Linked DNA regions of Bombyx mori. The protein of the gene in region 1 interacts with the protein of each later gene in a biochemical or structural test. Links are inferred from orthologs where the notes say so. Each region holds a gene or a part of one and is shown on either strand. Other genes may lie near its edges.

The links.
Region 2: the proteins of peroxisomal biogenesis factor 19 (region 1) and ATP-binding cassette sub-family D member 3 form a complex in vitro, tested with the Homo sapiens proteins (4 studies listed by BioGRID and IntAct, with this or other methods). The link is inferred for Bombyx mori from reciprocal best matches to the Homo sapiens genes PEX19 and ABCD3.

Annotation. Positions count from the first base shown.
Region 1 is NC_085129.1:20,648,010-20,655,965, forward strand, and holds the start of peroxisomal biogenesis factor 19, read left to right. Parts: upstream 1-2,708; 5' UTR 2,709-2,882; coding exon 2,883-2,946; intron 2,947-4,013; coding exon 4,014-4,181; intron 4,182-6,925; coding exon 6,926-6,976; intron 6,977-7,956. Other genes in the region: uncharacterized protein LOC101735788, read right to left, coding at 1,255-1,377, 1,853-1,872. UniProt on the Homo sapiens protein: Necessary for early peroxisomal biogenesis. Acts both as a cytosolic chaperone and as an import receptor for peroxisomal membrane proteins (PMPs).
Region 2 is NC_085128.1:3,707,168-3,715,343, forward strand, and holds the start of ATP-binding cassette sub-family D member 3, read right to left. Parts: upstream 4,794-8,176; 5' UTR 4,633-4,793; coding exon 4,526-4,632; intron 4,470-4,525; exon of another isoform or gene 4,359-4,469; intron 3,428-4,358; coding exon 3,173-3,427; intron 3,045-3,172; exon of another isoform or gene 2,901-3,044; intron 2,629-2,900; exon of another isoform or gene 2,367-2,628; intron 1,082-2,366; coding exon 1,012-1,081; intron 1-1,011. Other genes in the region: heat shock protein 68, read right to left, coding at 5,879-7,765. UniProt on the Homo sapiens protein: Broad substrate specificity ATP-dependent transporter of the ATP-binding cassette (ABC) family that catalyzes the transport of long-chain fatty acids (LCFA)-CoA, dicarboxylic acids-CoA, long-branched-chain fatty acids-CoA and bile acids from the cytosol to the peroxisome lumen for beta-oxydation.

The DNA of each region.
Region 1 (7,956 bases):
GAGGTCTTACCACCAGTAATTATGCAAATTATAATTTTGCGGGTTTGCTTTTTACTACACGATGTTCCTTCACCGTGGAAGTCAATCGTGAACATTTGTAAAGTACGTATTTCATTCGAAAAATTAGTACCCGCCAGCGGGATTCGAACGCCGTTGTATCGCTAGATACGAATGCATCGGACGTCTTATCCTTTAGGCCACGACGACTTTTTGTCAGGCTCATAGAGCCCAACTTTCAAAACGCTATACATTGACGGGTGAGCATTCTTTTTTATTTTGTTATAGCAGAGGCGGCTTACCCATGGTGCAGGGTGTGGGCGCAGCGTTGTTAGGGAATGCCGGCCTCCGTACTCTCAAAGAACCCCTTAAATTCTTACCTATTCCATATTAACCGCGCGCTTGCTTGAGGGCGCTAGGGTAATTATGGCACACGAATGCTACACGGACTAGAGACACCCTTAACTTCAGCGGGTCGCGATTCCAGTAGTAGATTCTGCGAATCACTGCTCTTACTAGGGTTACTAGGTAGGTACTTACTAGGTAGTGTTAGCAACCTCTCTCAGGTTGAGCCCGTGAGCTCACCTTACCCGTCCGGGCGTAATTGGAATAGCCCGCTGGGCTACCAGCGAATAGGTAGGGTAAAATATCACCTCTTTCCTACACTAAACCAAATTCTAGGTCTTACTAAGCCGCATCGCAAAGGAAGACGACCAAACCACAGTTGAAAGCAAAATTCGGAGCAACAAAAACATTGTCTCTTTTACAGCGAGGTACTTATCATTCAGTAAAAAAAAACTCCCGCACCGCGCCTAGTTGGAATAGCCCCGCAATAATTAAGCAGAAAAAAAAAACATTGAGATATGACAATTATTATCTCCCTTCTTGACCATACGTCGATATTTAGTTGGTGATCGCTTTGTTGGTACTGTGGATGATAGATAGAGGTACTATCTTATTTAAGGGACAAGTTGAAAAAGGGTCCGCCAGTACACAGCAAATTATTGTTGGAAGACTCACCGAAATAGCGCTAGTGTACGAAGTGGAAATGATATGAATATAGCAGTTTTAAACAGAGTAAAGTTTGCTGGGTTGAAATGAAGTGTGGTAGTTTAAGGCGCTGTTTTTAAAATCCTTCCACTTGCTACTGTGGCGCACCGCAATTGGCTCCTTTTCAGCGGACACTTTTTAATACACTGAGATGGTTCTCTTTACTTCTAACCTTTTCATTTCTAAACTTTAAAAAAAAAACCTTACTCTCTATCGATTTGCGATGGTGTCTTCGGTATTTCTTCCGGCTCTGGCGGTTCTTCCTTTCCCTTTTTCTTATCGTCCTTCTTTCTGTCGACTGGTGGAGGAGCGTCTCCACCTGCTGGCGCCCTGGTGGGAGGTGAATTTAAAAATAAGAAGTTTTAAGTATCCTGTTTTCGTAGATGTTTGCCAGTATTTGAGGTTTTTTGTTGGACTAGAATGATGGAAGAGCTCACGGCCCATTGTTAAATGACCAGAGCTTATAGAACAAGATGAATGCCATCTTGGAACCTTGAAACCCAAAGTCAAAATCTGAGTTGCATTGTTTAAACAAATTTTGTAACAACAAAATGGTCGCTTCGCTTCGCTGCCGAAATACGGTGGATTTGGTACCTAACCACGTGCACATACATGGACAAGAAGCTTCTACCAGTAGTAATTGTACAAATGTGTAAATTTTGCGAGCTCTATTTTGTTTCATTTATCGGCTACATAACACTTCACCGTGTGCTATTCCGTTTTAAAAAAAACAAAATTGGAAAAAATTAACCAAGTGCCAACTACCGGTCCCTTGAGTTGACTACTTAAATATTTTGTAACTTACTGAGATTTTTTATTGGACATTTTCGTAAAAATCACGACTTTTTCAAGAGCATACGTAAATTTGTAATTATCTTGATATTCCTTGTTTTTTGTGATTAAACAACGTTTTTGCGATTTTTTTGTCACTTTTTATTTATTTTTTTATGAAACTACCACATTTCGTATACCATGGCCGATTTGAATGGCTTTGAAGTTTCAAAACATATGTCACTTTTCGAACTAAGTTTTTTTTTTATTCAAGCCAGTTTGTTAAATATTTGTCTCATTTCCATTTATTTTATTTCGAATGAGAGATCGAAATACCGAAAAGCTTAGGGTAAGTATTCCAAGACAACAAAAGCAAAAAAAAATGAAAATAGAATTATGTATTACAATCAAACAATATTTTAAATATTATAGATTTTTTAATGTAACCTAAGAAACTCATGGTTCGGGTTTTAAAATTCCCGCTTAAATTAGTTACCTTCAGTGAAGTCATATGACTTCAAGGCATAGAGTTACTGTTGTAGGTACTTATTAACTCCATGCTTCAAGGTCAACGAAATAATCTTAGAAATATTTTTTGTCTCTTTTTGTCTTATAGTCATTACGTATGATAGAAAGACAACAAACAAATGAATGAGTCAAACGTTTTGCTTTTGCAATGTCTATTGGAAATGCACCGTTTTATCGAAATTTAATCATCGATATTCATTAATTTTATTTTCATGTATAGAGTAAAATACATATTTTTTTATTAAAATTGTATTTCATTTCTACTGGTCAGCGAAGATTTTGTAGTAAATTCACTTAAAATCGATCTGTTTCTTAGTGCCGAAACCTTTTCAAAACGCCTTTATTGTCTTTTCACAGGGAAAAAACCCATTCATTAGCTATAGTTCATAAGTGTATAATCTATGAGCTAGTTCGATCACTCAAAATTCATGCTCATTTCAACCTTTGAAATTTCTATTGTCAAATTTGTCACTCAACGTGAAAATTTTTCTGAACCAATTTTCTATTGAATTTATTTTAATTATTACCGATTAAACATGTCTGACAATAAGAACGCATCCAAAAACGATCAAGATCCTGAATTAGACGATTTATTGAACAGTAAGTTGTTAAATCTTGATTACATTTCATCGTGTTGATTTTCCATTACACAATAACCTACGGTCTAAGTGCATGCTAATTTTGTTTGTTTTCTCTGTTAATGTCTTCTTTGTCAGTTATCAACATCTTTAATATTTCTTTATTCTATTTAAGTAATCGCGTATGAAAGTTTTTAATTTTAAAATGTAAAACTGACGATAAATCCTCAAACTCAAAAAAAAAGGTTCCGTATTTTTTCTTATTGCGTTTAGCAATGTTGATTAGACGTAATCAAGATAAAATAATGTTGAGCATAATTAATTAACACTATCATTAGTTTTCATTTATTCATCAAATGACAATTTTTTTGTTAAATTTTATTAATAGCTAGCTTATTGCTGTTTTGTACTGCTTAAGATGAGTACACTTGATTACTGGACCTCATGGTCATTGCACGCTGCTCTCACTTTACTATCTTCTCTTCATCCTCTAAAATTAGGAAATATCATGATTCATGATATTTCCTAATTTGATAATGATGATCATCATCCGCATGGGTAGGTATCACCACCCCGCCTATATCTGCCATGAAGGGCCAGGTGGCCAGGTGGGCTGTGAGCTTGTCCACCCGCTAAGCAATGAAAAAAAAACCTAACCTACCACTCTATCAAACTGTCTTCCGCTTGCCTTCAACCCATGTAATGGAGACTGGCACATATCCTCCTATCATGCTGCATAGGATTTTGGTGTGAGTTTTACAACACCGGCCTGTTGTCAACTCTATGGGTTATTTACTCAAGTGACATATCTATTGTGGCATGCCATAGGGAGGAGTTGTTCTTCTGTCAGTGTATCTTTTACCTGATTCATTTTTGGTTATACTCTTAACATTTAAATTTTTATTTTAAAAATTAGATTTACATATATCTAAAAGATAAAACTGCTACATATTATTAGTTTTTCGGTATTTTCATAATCTAGAAAATATAACTAACAAAATATCACTCTAACCAACCTGGCCTCAATAGATTAATAGTCACAGAAAGTCATACTAAAAAACTGTCACTCAGGGTGTAAATTTATTCCAGGTGCACTTCAGGATATGACAAAGAAGAAAGATGATAAGCCAAACGATACCACTCCTGATGGTGGCGAAGCAATGCAGAACATGTGGGGCGAGGAATTTATCAAAGAAGCAGCTGCTCAGTTTGAGAGCAACATGGCAGCTATCCTAGGCAGTTTCAGTGGAGTGCCAGGTACGTCAATTAGTGCGCCAGGTTCCATCTAGCTTCAAGTGGCTAGTGGACTTCATATCAGTGTTTCCACTTTAATGATTTTCTTTCCCCACACCTCAATTCAAATTTCCCCTTCTCAGGGCTTTTTCTCCTCAAAAATGTTTCTGCTGTAGTTTTTACTTTTGGCCCTAGTGTAGTAACTAAAAAAAGGTCTTTATCGATTTTAGATTTTACCCATGATTTCCCGCAATTTCCCCTTTTGATGTCTTCTCTTTTTCTCCTCCTATGGACCCTAATTTCCCCTCAAATGGGGAATGTCCCCTCGTTGTGGAAACACTGCTTCATATATGTAGCGTGCAACATTCGGTCGCACTCGGGCGTCATCGGACGCGATCGGAGCTCCTGAACGCGCAGGTGTCCCGTGACGTCATGCAGCAAGATTCGCGCGCGCGTCGATTTAAGTTGAATGTAAAAACGTAATTTTAATTTTAATTCGTATCTTCCAGTGCCTAGCGTTGCTTACTTTACTTTTGGTTTATGTTTTAATATTGTACACATTAAGTATAATAATATGTATTGTTGAAATGGAGTGTTTGTCTTTTGTATATTCGGAATGAAAATATCCCGTGAATACGAACAACAAATAATAAACCACATACACAATTTTTACTGGTGGTAGGACCTCTTGTGAGTCCGCGCGGGTAGGTACCACCGCCCTGCCTATTTCTGCCGTGAAGCAGTAATGCGTTTCGGTTTGAAGGGTAGGGCAGCCGTTATAACTATACTTGAGACCTTAGAACTTATATCTCAAGGTGGGTGGCGCATTTTACGTTGTAGATGTCTATGGGCTCCAGTAACCACTTAACACCAGGTGGGCTGTGAGTTCGTCCACCCATCTAAGCAATAAAAAAAAACAATAATTTCAACCACTCACATTGAGACATCTTCCAAGCCTCAGTTGTAATGGCTGATCCACCCTTGAGAGATCCCTTGCCACAGAAATTTGTCAGCAGAATGGCTTAGGTTTATGTAGGATGGATAATGCCTATCTTAAAAAAAAAGTGAATAGAATTTGGGAGGAAAAAGGTCGTTAAGTTGAGGATTTCATGAAAGGAATGTTGTAGCTGAAGCCAAACAAGGCAAACAAGTACCTAATTAATCAATCAGATTATTATCAACATTAAATCTGCGGCTTATTTTGACACACTTTAATTGGCATACCATAGTATGTATATGATATATTTTTTATGTGATATTCACCGATTTTAAAGTATCCAATTTAATTAAAACATCACACACTTATCAAGGACCAATGATAATACAATCTGTACTAATATTATCAAGCTGAAGAGTTTGTTTGTTTGAACGCGTTAATCTCAGGAACTACTGGTCTGATTTGAAAAAATCTTTCAGTGTTACATAACGCATTTATTGAGGAAGGTTATAGGCTACATAACATCACGGTAAGGCCGATACAAGTGGAGCACCAATAAAGAATGTTTCAAAATAGGGGCTTATAGCTCCTTAACATTCTATAATTCAAAAATATTTTCACTTTCTACGTAAATGAAGTGGGGGTAAAATTTAGTGATATGCCAAAGTAACTATTCCACGCGAACGGAGTCGCGTGCAAAAGCTAGTAATTTAATAAAATTGTCTTATTACAATGATTGGGATCTTCAGGGTTAAAATGCAGTAGTGTCTTGTGCCGTGTATTACTTACTATACATATATGAAGAAAAACCTTTCTTATTTAAAACTCTATAGTTTTTAAAAATGAGTTTTCTTCATTGACATCCATTGTTATGGAGTGAAGTCTGTGATTAAGTAAAAAGGGAGGACTTAAAAATTTTGTATAGCTTATTAATACTGTTTAATTTTTAATATTGATTTTAAAAGAGATCAAGACTTTTAAATGCTCTTATCTTATTATACATATAACAGAACACGCAATTAAGTCTTTTATCTATTTACTGGTGGTAGGACCTCTTGTGAGTCCGCACGGGTAGGTATCACCACCCTATCTTGAGATGTAAGTTCTAAGGTCTCGAGTATAGTTATAACGGCTGCCCCACCCTTCAAACCGAAACGCATTACTGCTTCACGGCAGAAATAGGCAGGGTGGTGGTACCTACCCGTGCGGACTCACAAGAGGTCATACCACCAGTAATTACGCAAATTATAATTTTGCGGGTTTGATTTTTATTACACGATGTTATGCCTTAACCGTGGAAGTCAATTGTGAACATTTGTTGAGTACGTATTTCATTAGAAAAATTGCTACCCGCCTGGAATTCGAACACCGGTGTATCGCTCAACACGAATGCACCGGACGTCTTATCCTTTAGGCCACGACGACTTCAAACTTCACTCTGAAGTACTCGATATCATTATATACATATCGAAGGAAGAAAGCGGAATTGTTGTAACTTGAAAAGACCAATTTTGTACTAGAGCCATATGTGTTATATGATAAGGTACAAAGTCGTTTAGCCCAAAATGCAAGTGACGACATTTCCCTTTCTCCCGCCGATATGCACTTGCTCACCTCCTGGGATATGATAACCATTTCTCAGTCCCCTCTAGAATCGAACTCTTAATTCCCCATAAAGCCCCTATAGTTACAGAGCCCATAATCAGATAGAAGAACAACCAAGTTCTCTTCAAGCTTAAAGCTGACAGAAAGAGTTCCATATAATGTTCATGCATTGGACGAAATAGTTGTATAGTCTTGTATTTATCGAATGTCAATCTTTCGTTTTCAGAGGATCAGATAACACAAGAACAAATTGCATTAACTTTCAACAAAATGGCTGGTGAGTACACCATTTTAATACCAATAATTAGTCTCAAATGTAATGGAAGTAAACAAGCTCTTCAACATGAATACAGGTGCTTATAGTCGGATTTTTTATTAGACGAAGTCAACTGACGTTTACTGTGTTGTCAGTTTTTGATGAAATAAAAATAGTGTTGTGACAAAGTGAACGATTGAAAAAACTCCTGAATTAATGAAATTGCCTCGATTGTCTAGTGAATAGTTGGTGTGCCGAATTGCCGATATCGGGTACGGGGTTCGAATTTTAGGCGTGCTTTGTACATACCAACGAGTTTTCGACGAAATATTATGTTCCTATAGTATCTACCTGTACTGAATACCGAGTGTTTTAAACATTAAGAAAAACATTGCGAGGAAGCTTGTAAGACTGTCCTATTTCCAATACATCATATAGTTGAAATTATAGACGTATAAAATATAACAATTATAGGTAGGTAATGAAAATAAAAAAACTGATTGTAGTTACATACTACTAGTAACATATATTGGAGCACTTTAATACAATTTTATTGTAAAATATAAATAATATTCTTTTATAGTTTGAAATTGATGATTAACTTTTCACACTCATTGTTCATTCATGTGATTGAACGAGAACTGAACGCATCACTATTACTTTAAATATAGCAACATTATTTCACAAAGTGACATTAGCTACTGTCAGCTGGCTTCGTCTAATTAAAAATTCGACTATAAGTAGATTTCCCTCGGCCCAATCAAATAATAATATATGTATGTGTTCACATAGTTAACTATATTACGACATCAGATGGTACATGCAATGACAAATTTTTTTTTTGCAAAAATCAAATAGAATTGTATTAGTTAATTATAAAACAGATATCTTGAATGAAATTTTTGTAAATTTAATAGTTAGTTCTCTGCCAATTAACTACTCATTCAGTGTGAATCAATATGCTATTACTTACACAGTTTTAAAATGTCTCATCAGTCTTA
Region 2 (8,176 bases), on another chromosome or scaffold:
CACTGAACCAGTGGAGATTTGTCCGACACATGAATCCTCTGCATGTCAATCTGGACCGTTCCTTTCTCCACAAGCCTGCCCCACAGCCTCGGGGAGACTTTTAGGACTATATGGTTTGTGATGGCGTTCCTTGATTTTCTTTTATATTTTACTACCATCCTGTCCTCATCTTCTGTCAGCCCCTCAAAGATCTTCTGGTTCTGCTTCCTCAGCGCCCCCACCACCTCTTCTTCTGTGTTGTAAGCAAGGACGTCCTTCAGAATAACCAGCGGATCCTTGTTTTTAATTTCTTCCGCTTGTAATAACCCTCCCGCTTTGTCCAGCCTATCTTTTACTTTCTTCCTGTCCGCTTCACTCCTACATCCTATAATCACTTTCCGGTCCCTGGCTTTCCGAACTCTATCTATCATCACTCCCCCCTCTTTGGCGTTTATGACTTCCCTTATTTTGTTTAAGACTTCCTCCCCTGACTCTTGTTCGTCACTGGAGGTGACTATGACCGAGTGCAACGTTTTCATTTCTTCAATGTTTCCCTTTTTTGGGCCCGCCGCTACACTCGCGTATGTTGCCCCTTCCAGCGTTTTCTTATGTTCAGTCAACATTCCTTTTAATTCTTCCATTTTTTCGTTATTTTCTTTGACTAGTCTTGTATGTTCTTCCATCCTTTTAGTCAGTTCATGGCAGTGTGTCGGGGAGGGGATGGGAGGGGTCAGGGGGTGTAAAGAGCCCGTCTCACCCGTCCCTACTCCTTTCTCCTCCTCTTTCTTTCCTCTTTTTTGATTTTCCAATTCTTTATCCAAAGTTTTGACTATTTGGTACAGTCTATCGATTGTATTCAAGACTCCGTCCTTTATGTCCGTCGCTGCCATTCCGGTGTGATTCAACCCTAACAGTACAGTATACATGCGTAGGTATATCAGTCTCTGATTCCCATAAGGAGTCCTAGTTTGGGCCTAGACGACTGTGTGTGACTTGTTCCCGGTTATTATTTTAATAGAAAAAATTGCTTACCAGTGGCATTGATCCGAAGAACTGGATTAACAGCCTCTTGAACTCCTTGTGGTTCATTGTGATAATTGACCTGTACAATGAATAATTTATTTTCTATCTGTAAGTATTAAAATTGTGAAACACTAAAATTACCAAAAAGGATATTTTTTGTGATTTTACAAAATTTCATGACAATAGGGTTAGCATAAAAGAATTTACTAAACATATTTTTATTGCCATGCTTATTGCCATTATTGTCGTCCCATACTCCTGGTGCCAGCGCGCTAGAGTGATGGTAGCGTGCGGCGCAGCCTCAACCCCTCAGTCGCCCCGTGACCATCACCTGGAGGACACTGCTTCCTCACAGGGGTCAGAACTGGACGAACGTCCTCCTCCGACCTCCGGCTCGGCGGCGGGGGCACGGCGCCGAGAAAGAAGAAGAGCTCTCCCTCCCTGGTTCCGCCGCCTCCTTCTGCGAGATGGTGAACTCGCAGAAGTCGAGCATCGCCTGCCAGGACTCATCGCTGCCGAGCATTGTAGCCACGACGTTCGGAAGCGACAAGTCCGGTCCTATTTTTGCAACGAGGACGCGGCGCTGCTCCGCGAAAACAGGGTAGTACGCGAGCGTGTGCGCCACCGTGACCTCGTTACAGCCACTGCAGCACTTTGGCGTCGGCTCCCTCCGGGCGACGAGGTGCGGGTAGCGACCGAAACAGACGTGTCCCGTAAGAATCTGCGTCGCTCGGAAGGTGAGACTTCCTTGGTCACCCAGTCCGAGAGGACAGGGCGGATCGCCTCGAGGGCCGTCGCCCGTAGGCAGGGTCCGCCAACAGCGAGACTACGCCTCGAGCACGGCACGAGATTACAGCTTCTGCGCTTGAACTTCTGCGATGCCGGGCCGCGTCTCCCCTCTGGAGCGGAGGCCGCATGGCCACGCGTAATCCGCAGCGAGCGCCTCCGCTTCCAGGTCATGCTAAGGGCTCAGTCAACATTCTGCTGACCATTGGGTTTATTTTCAAACAGCATTTGATATATAATATATGCTGATATTTAGTATTTAATGTAGCTGACATATAAAATAGATATCCTTGAAGTTATAATTTATTTTAAAATAAACCAAGAGTTTTGCATGCATTTCCATAAACTAGTCATGACTCATGAATTATTTATGTGAAAAGGAATCAAATCTCTTTTTAAATATACACACTAACCATTAAGCACCAAGAAGGTCAAAGTACATTAAATACTTGAAAATAATTTAAACCAGTCAACAAAAGCAACAATAATTAAAATTCTTTGTTTTACAGGGTTTTCAAGTTAATTTACATTATTTTTTGTTGTATTTACTTCAACTATACAGTTTAAAGTCTCAGTATAATGCATACTAATATAAAGCAGTAATTATCACCAAAGTACAACAAATCGTGATAAAACTAGATTTTTATTTAAAATTAATTCTAGGAATCTAGAGTGGATGAACTGCCTTATTGGAATTAAAATTATAAATACAGTGCAACCTAACAATACAATACATAACAAATCGGAAGGGAACAAGTGAATACTCGTTATATCAAGTAATTTGGTAAACTGAGGTTTGTTTGATTAGGGTTAGGTTGGTCTACCATTTGTTATAACGAGGTAAGTAAAAAAAATTTTTTATTCACCTCATCATTAAACTCATCTTGTTATAGCAAACAACTTCTACTAATAAATGAAAACACATTTTTATGAAATTACTATATATATTTTATATTTCAAAACAATTAGGTAGGTAACAATTTTTCTCAAACGCAATGAGACTGATTGACATAGTACTATGGGATTTAGGGTCATATTGGTGGGACCGTTATATAAAGTTTTTGGGTTGACAAAATTCATTAATTAGAGGTATTTACATCTTTTTTTTATAGTTGAAAATCTTTGAAAATTTAGTTGAATAAAGAGGTTGTTCGCAAGAAATCTTCGCAATGTGAAGGTATATTTTACATCAACTCTTATGGACAATTCAGCGGGTTAAGAAAAATTTGTTAAATCGAGGACATTATTATATTCAGGTTTGTTATATTAAGGTTGCACTGTACTTAGTTGTAAAGGAAGTTTGTCAAAAATGCTAGTCATATTCAGTGTTTATTTTAAAATGATTTAATTCATAATAATTAATAAGACTATAGTTTCAACTCACCCTTCAATCAAAGTAGTCTGCTGTATTAGCCACAGATCACACATGGATCTGGATATTAGAGAGATGGCTATCAACGACATGAAGGCACTTTCTTTGGTCCACCAGCCTGGCATCATAATCTTCCATAGTGTTTTAAATTCTGCTAAAAATCTAGCATCAACTTGTGCTTTTGGCCCCTTTTTGTCTTTTTCTTTGATCATGTACTGAATCTGCTCTTCGGGTGAAAGACGGCCGGGTTTGTCATATCTTGATTTTCTAAAAAATATTTATTAAGTTAATAAGTCAGTTAAGTTTTGTTTCCAAGCATGCTTTATATGAATTATAAACTCTTAAATATTCTACAACTGTGAGAATGTACTTGTTTTTATTCAAATAGTCCTAACATAATTTCCAAACATATGCCTGTTTTATTTTATGTGAATGAGGTATTTATAGATAAAAGGATGTTGTTTCTCAGTTTCTTTTTTCTTATTGCTTATTGGACAAGCTCGCACCCCATTGGGTGTTAAGTGGTTACCAGAGTTCATAGACATCTACAATGTCAATGCTGCACCAGTCTTAAGACGAGTTATAAGGTCGTTTTTGCAGTACAACAGCTGCACCACCCTTCAAACTGAAATGCATTACTGCTTCACAGCAGAAATAGGAAGGGTGGTGATACCTACCTGTGCAGTCTAACAAGATTTCCTACCATCAGTAAAAACACTGTGAAGCATTGCTCTTGTTAAGGCTAATGTTAGCTATTCTTTGAGGTTGACTCTGTCAACTCACTTGCTCAGAGTGTAACTGGAATAGCCTCATAGGCTCCTCATAGGCTCATACCAGTGATTAAGCAGGGGAAAAATCAATTACCTATAATAATTCTATCATATAATAAAACTGATACAGAGAGAGTATAACAATTAAATGCACACTGCTAACCAAGGTTTATTTTTTATTTTTCCTGTATCATCTCATAAATATACTCAAATTCTCTCTGTAATGCGGATTCTAGACCAGATGTATATTCAAGAATTGAATTATTTCAGAAAATACAAAGATCTATATTGTAAAGTTATTGTACTGACCACTCTATTGTATTATGACTATTGTAAAATTATTTGGGTGATAATAAGATATTAATAGATTTAAACATATTAGTAAACTTAGTCTTTTTACCACGTTTTAATTTTTATCTCACTTCTAGGTCAAATTCCAACTTTATCATGATTAGCGCAAAACGTTTTAATTGGTCAAAAGGAAATTCAACATATAAATCTGAAAATTTTACACGCTTAATTGGGACTCAGAGTTTCAGGTATAGTATAAACAACTAAAGCAATGGAAAATTGTTCAAGAGGCCAGTAAACTCACCTTGACTTAAAGGAGTTCCGGATAATCCAAGCACCAAGAGCTGCGGAGACAGCAATACCGACTTTAACGTCTGTCCGTTGCGTTAATTTACTTAAATTCGGTGCCATAATTATTAGTTAAATAAATACATTGATTAACACACAGCACAACATTAACTAAACTTTTATTCTTGAAAATGGAAAGACAACACACGCACTATGCAACAATCTAGCACATAAACTAAATCATATATTATGTGTATAATCTATGCTCCATATATAATGTCCTAAGTCCTAATGTCAACCTTAGCTTCTTGTACTTTATTTTTTGGCTCCGGCACAGTTTGTGCATTAGCCAGTGTCAAGTAATAAAATATTTAAAATTCGCCGTTTCAATTAATTACAGTTTATGAATAATAATAAAACGAAGGAAAGTAATCGCAACATAACATAAATGATTAAAAACGAATTAAATTTACAAATGAGATGATATGTGATGAAATATAATCTCAGTAAAATTATGGTTATTTATTAAGACATTATCAGTGTACTTTTTGGAGGATCCCGAGAAGTTACGTCCAGCGGCTTTGTTTCATTTTCCCACAATTATGCACTTTCACAGATTCTAAGCAGTTAATAAAGCACCGTTATTACACATTTAAACCTGAAGAAGCACTAAATAGACAAAATAAAACAATTCACACAACTTCACTCCTTGCGTTCCCGCCACTTGGTTAGATAAACAGCAACTTGGCTGTGTCCCTGGCGTTGCTGACGTCCATGAGCGGCGGTGACCATTCACCATTAGTTGGCCTAAAGGTCTAGATACCAGGCCATAAACTCCAATTTAAAAAAAAAAAAATCACCATTAGTGGGGCCTTATATTATCTGTCTACATTCGCAATAGAAAATCTCATTACTTCTATTTATTCAATTTATGTACGATTTAAGAGATGGCGTAATTTTTCATTTGTCCCAAGACGGCATTTAAACTAAGTTCGATTTTTAATAGGGAAGTCTATTGATTTTGAGAGGATGTGATTTTTAGTAAACGATTAGTTTATTATCTTTAATTTACCTATCGTATAAAGTTGCATTCGGCTCTATGTAACTACCCTTTGATATACAACTGTTTTGTGGCAAATAAATTATTTTCATTGTACAATTTAGAACTATTTTAATATACAAAATTATCAATAAAAAACAACTTCAAAAGTTAAAATCTATTTATTTTTTGTTGCAGTCCATGAACACAATGTTTGAAACTAAAAACATAACATAAATTCTAATATTTACAATTAACTTAAATCATTGACTAGGAACTTAAAGCATATAATACTGAAATCAGTCTGAACTTCATTCGTCATTTTAATATTTAATCAACTTCTTCAACCGTTGGCCCTGAACGATTGGGCTGTGAATACTGTTGACTACCCGTAGCGTGGATCTTGCTCATGACTGGTGAACAAACTTGCTGAAGATCCTTTAGTTTCTGCTGAAATTCATCTTTTTCAGCTAGCGTGTTATTGTCCAACCATCGCAGGGCGGCCTCGCAATCGTTTCTTACGCTCTCTTTGTCTTGTGCGCTCAGTTTGTCACCGGCATCATCAACGGCTTGTTTAACGTTGAAAATGTAAGTTTCCAATTGATTGCGTGCTGCTACCCTTTCTCTTTGTCGATCATCTTCTTCCTTATAGCGTTCGGCTTCTGCTACCATACGGTCGATTTCAGCTTGAGATAATCGTCCCTTATCATTTTTAATAACGATGTTTTTACTGCGGCCAGTGCCGTTTTCTTTAGCGGAGACATTTAAGATCCCGTTGGCGTCGATATCGAATGTCACGTCGATCTTTGGGACCCCCCGTGGTGCAGGTGGAATTCCAGTTAGATCGAAGCGACCCAACATATTGTTGTCCTTGGTCATGGCCCGTTCGCCCTCGTACACTTGTATTGTGACTGCTGGTTGGCTGTCAGAATATGTCGTGAATGTCTGTGATTGCTTGCATGGAATTTTAGCGTTGCGTTCAATGATCTTTGTCATTACACCACCGGCAGTTTCAATGCCCAAAGATAAGGGAGCGACGTCAACCAAAAGAACATCTTGAATTTTACTGTGTTGCTCTCCACTCAAAATTGCTGCTTGTACAGCAGCTCCGTATGCTACCGCTTCATCCGGATTGATTGAAAGATTTAGTTTCTTTCCACAGAAGAAGTTTTGTAACATGCTCTGTATTTTTGGAATGCGTGTCGATCCTCCAACGAGAACTACGTCGTGAATAGAGCTTTTATCTAGTTTCGCATCTTTCAGAGCTTTCTCGACAGGTTCCAGTGTTCCTCGGAACAGATCAGCATTTAATTCTTCAAAACGTGCACGAGATACTCTAGTGTAGAAATCAATGCCTTCGTACAAAGCATCTATTTCAATGGTAGCTTCCGTGCTCGATGATAATGTTCGTTTCGCCCGTTCAGCTGCAGTCCGAAGCCGGCGAAGAGCGCGAGGATTGCTGGTTATATCTCTCTTGTATTTCCGTTTAAACTCTTCAGCTAGGTGGTTCACCAATCTATTATCAAAATCTTCACCGCCTAGATGAGTATCGCCTGCAGTGGCTTTTACCTCAAATAATGAACCTTCATCAATGGTCAGTATGGAAACATCGAATGTTCCACCACCGAGGTCGAAAATAAGAACGTTTCGTTCGCCTTTTAAATTTTTATCCAATCCATAAGCGAGTGCTGCTGCTGTCGGTTCATTTATAATACGAAGCACATTCAGACCAGCGATAGCTCCAGCGTCTTTTGTGGCCTGACGCTGTGAATCGTTAAAATAAGCAGGAACGGTGATGACTGCATCTCGTATTGCTGTTCCAAGATATGCTTCAGCGGTCTCTCTCATTTTTATTAACACCATACTGCTGATTTCCTCAGGTGCAAAACGTTTTGTTTCGCCTTTGAATTCTATCTGGATTTTGGGCTTTCCACAATCACTTATCACTTTGAATGGCCAATGTTTCAGGTCTTGTTGTATCTTGGCATCATCAAACTTGCGACCGATTAGTCTTTTCGCATCGAACACCGTATTACTAGGGTTGAGTGCTACTTGATTTTTAGCAGCATCACCAATGAGTCTCTCTGTGTCCGTGAATGCAACATATGAGGGTGTAGTCCGGTTTCCTTGGTCGTTAGCGATGATCTCCACGTTTCCATGTTGCCAAACTCCAACACATGAATATGTAGTTCCAAGATCTATCCCTATAGCAGGCATATCTGTAGAATTCACTCAATGATCTCAAATTAATTTGTAGAAAAAATCACTTGTCTAAATTCTTCGGTGGTTACACCGTTTTACTTTTGCTCTCTCAGTTATGTTTTCAAGTACTGAATGTTTTCCCGCGCTCGCGGCATGCTTATATACTCTTACCAGCTAGCCAATCACGTTCGAGCACATTGTAGAAAATTCTCGAAACGCCTATCAAACTTCGGTGTGTAGAGGTGTGTTCTAGAAATTCTATAATTTACGCCAATAGTTTTCCTCCTTGTAAGACAGAACTAGATGTTAATGAGTAACAGAGATAGGAAGTCTTTTAGGGATATCATGCAGTAAAAATAACTGAAATAAGTTTTATTTTACTTAATTTCTGACGGATTTTTTGTACGCATAAAAAGTAACAAAATA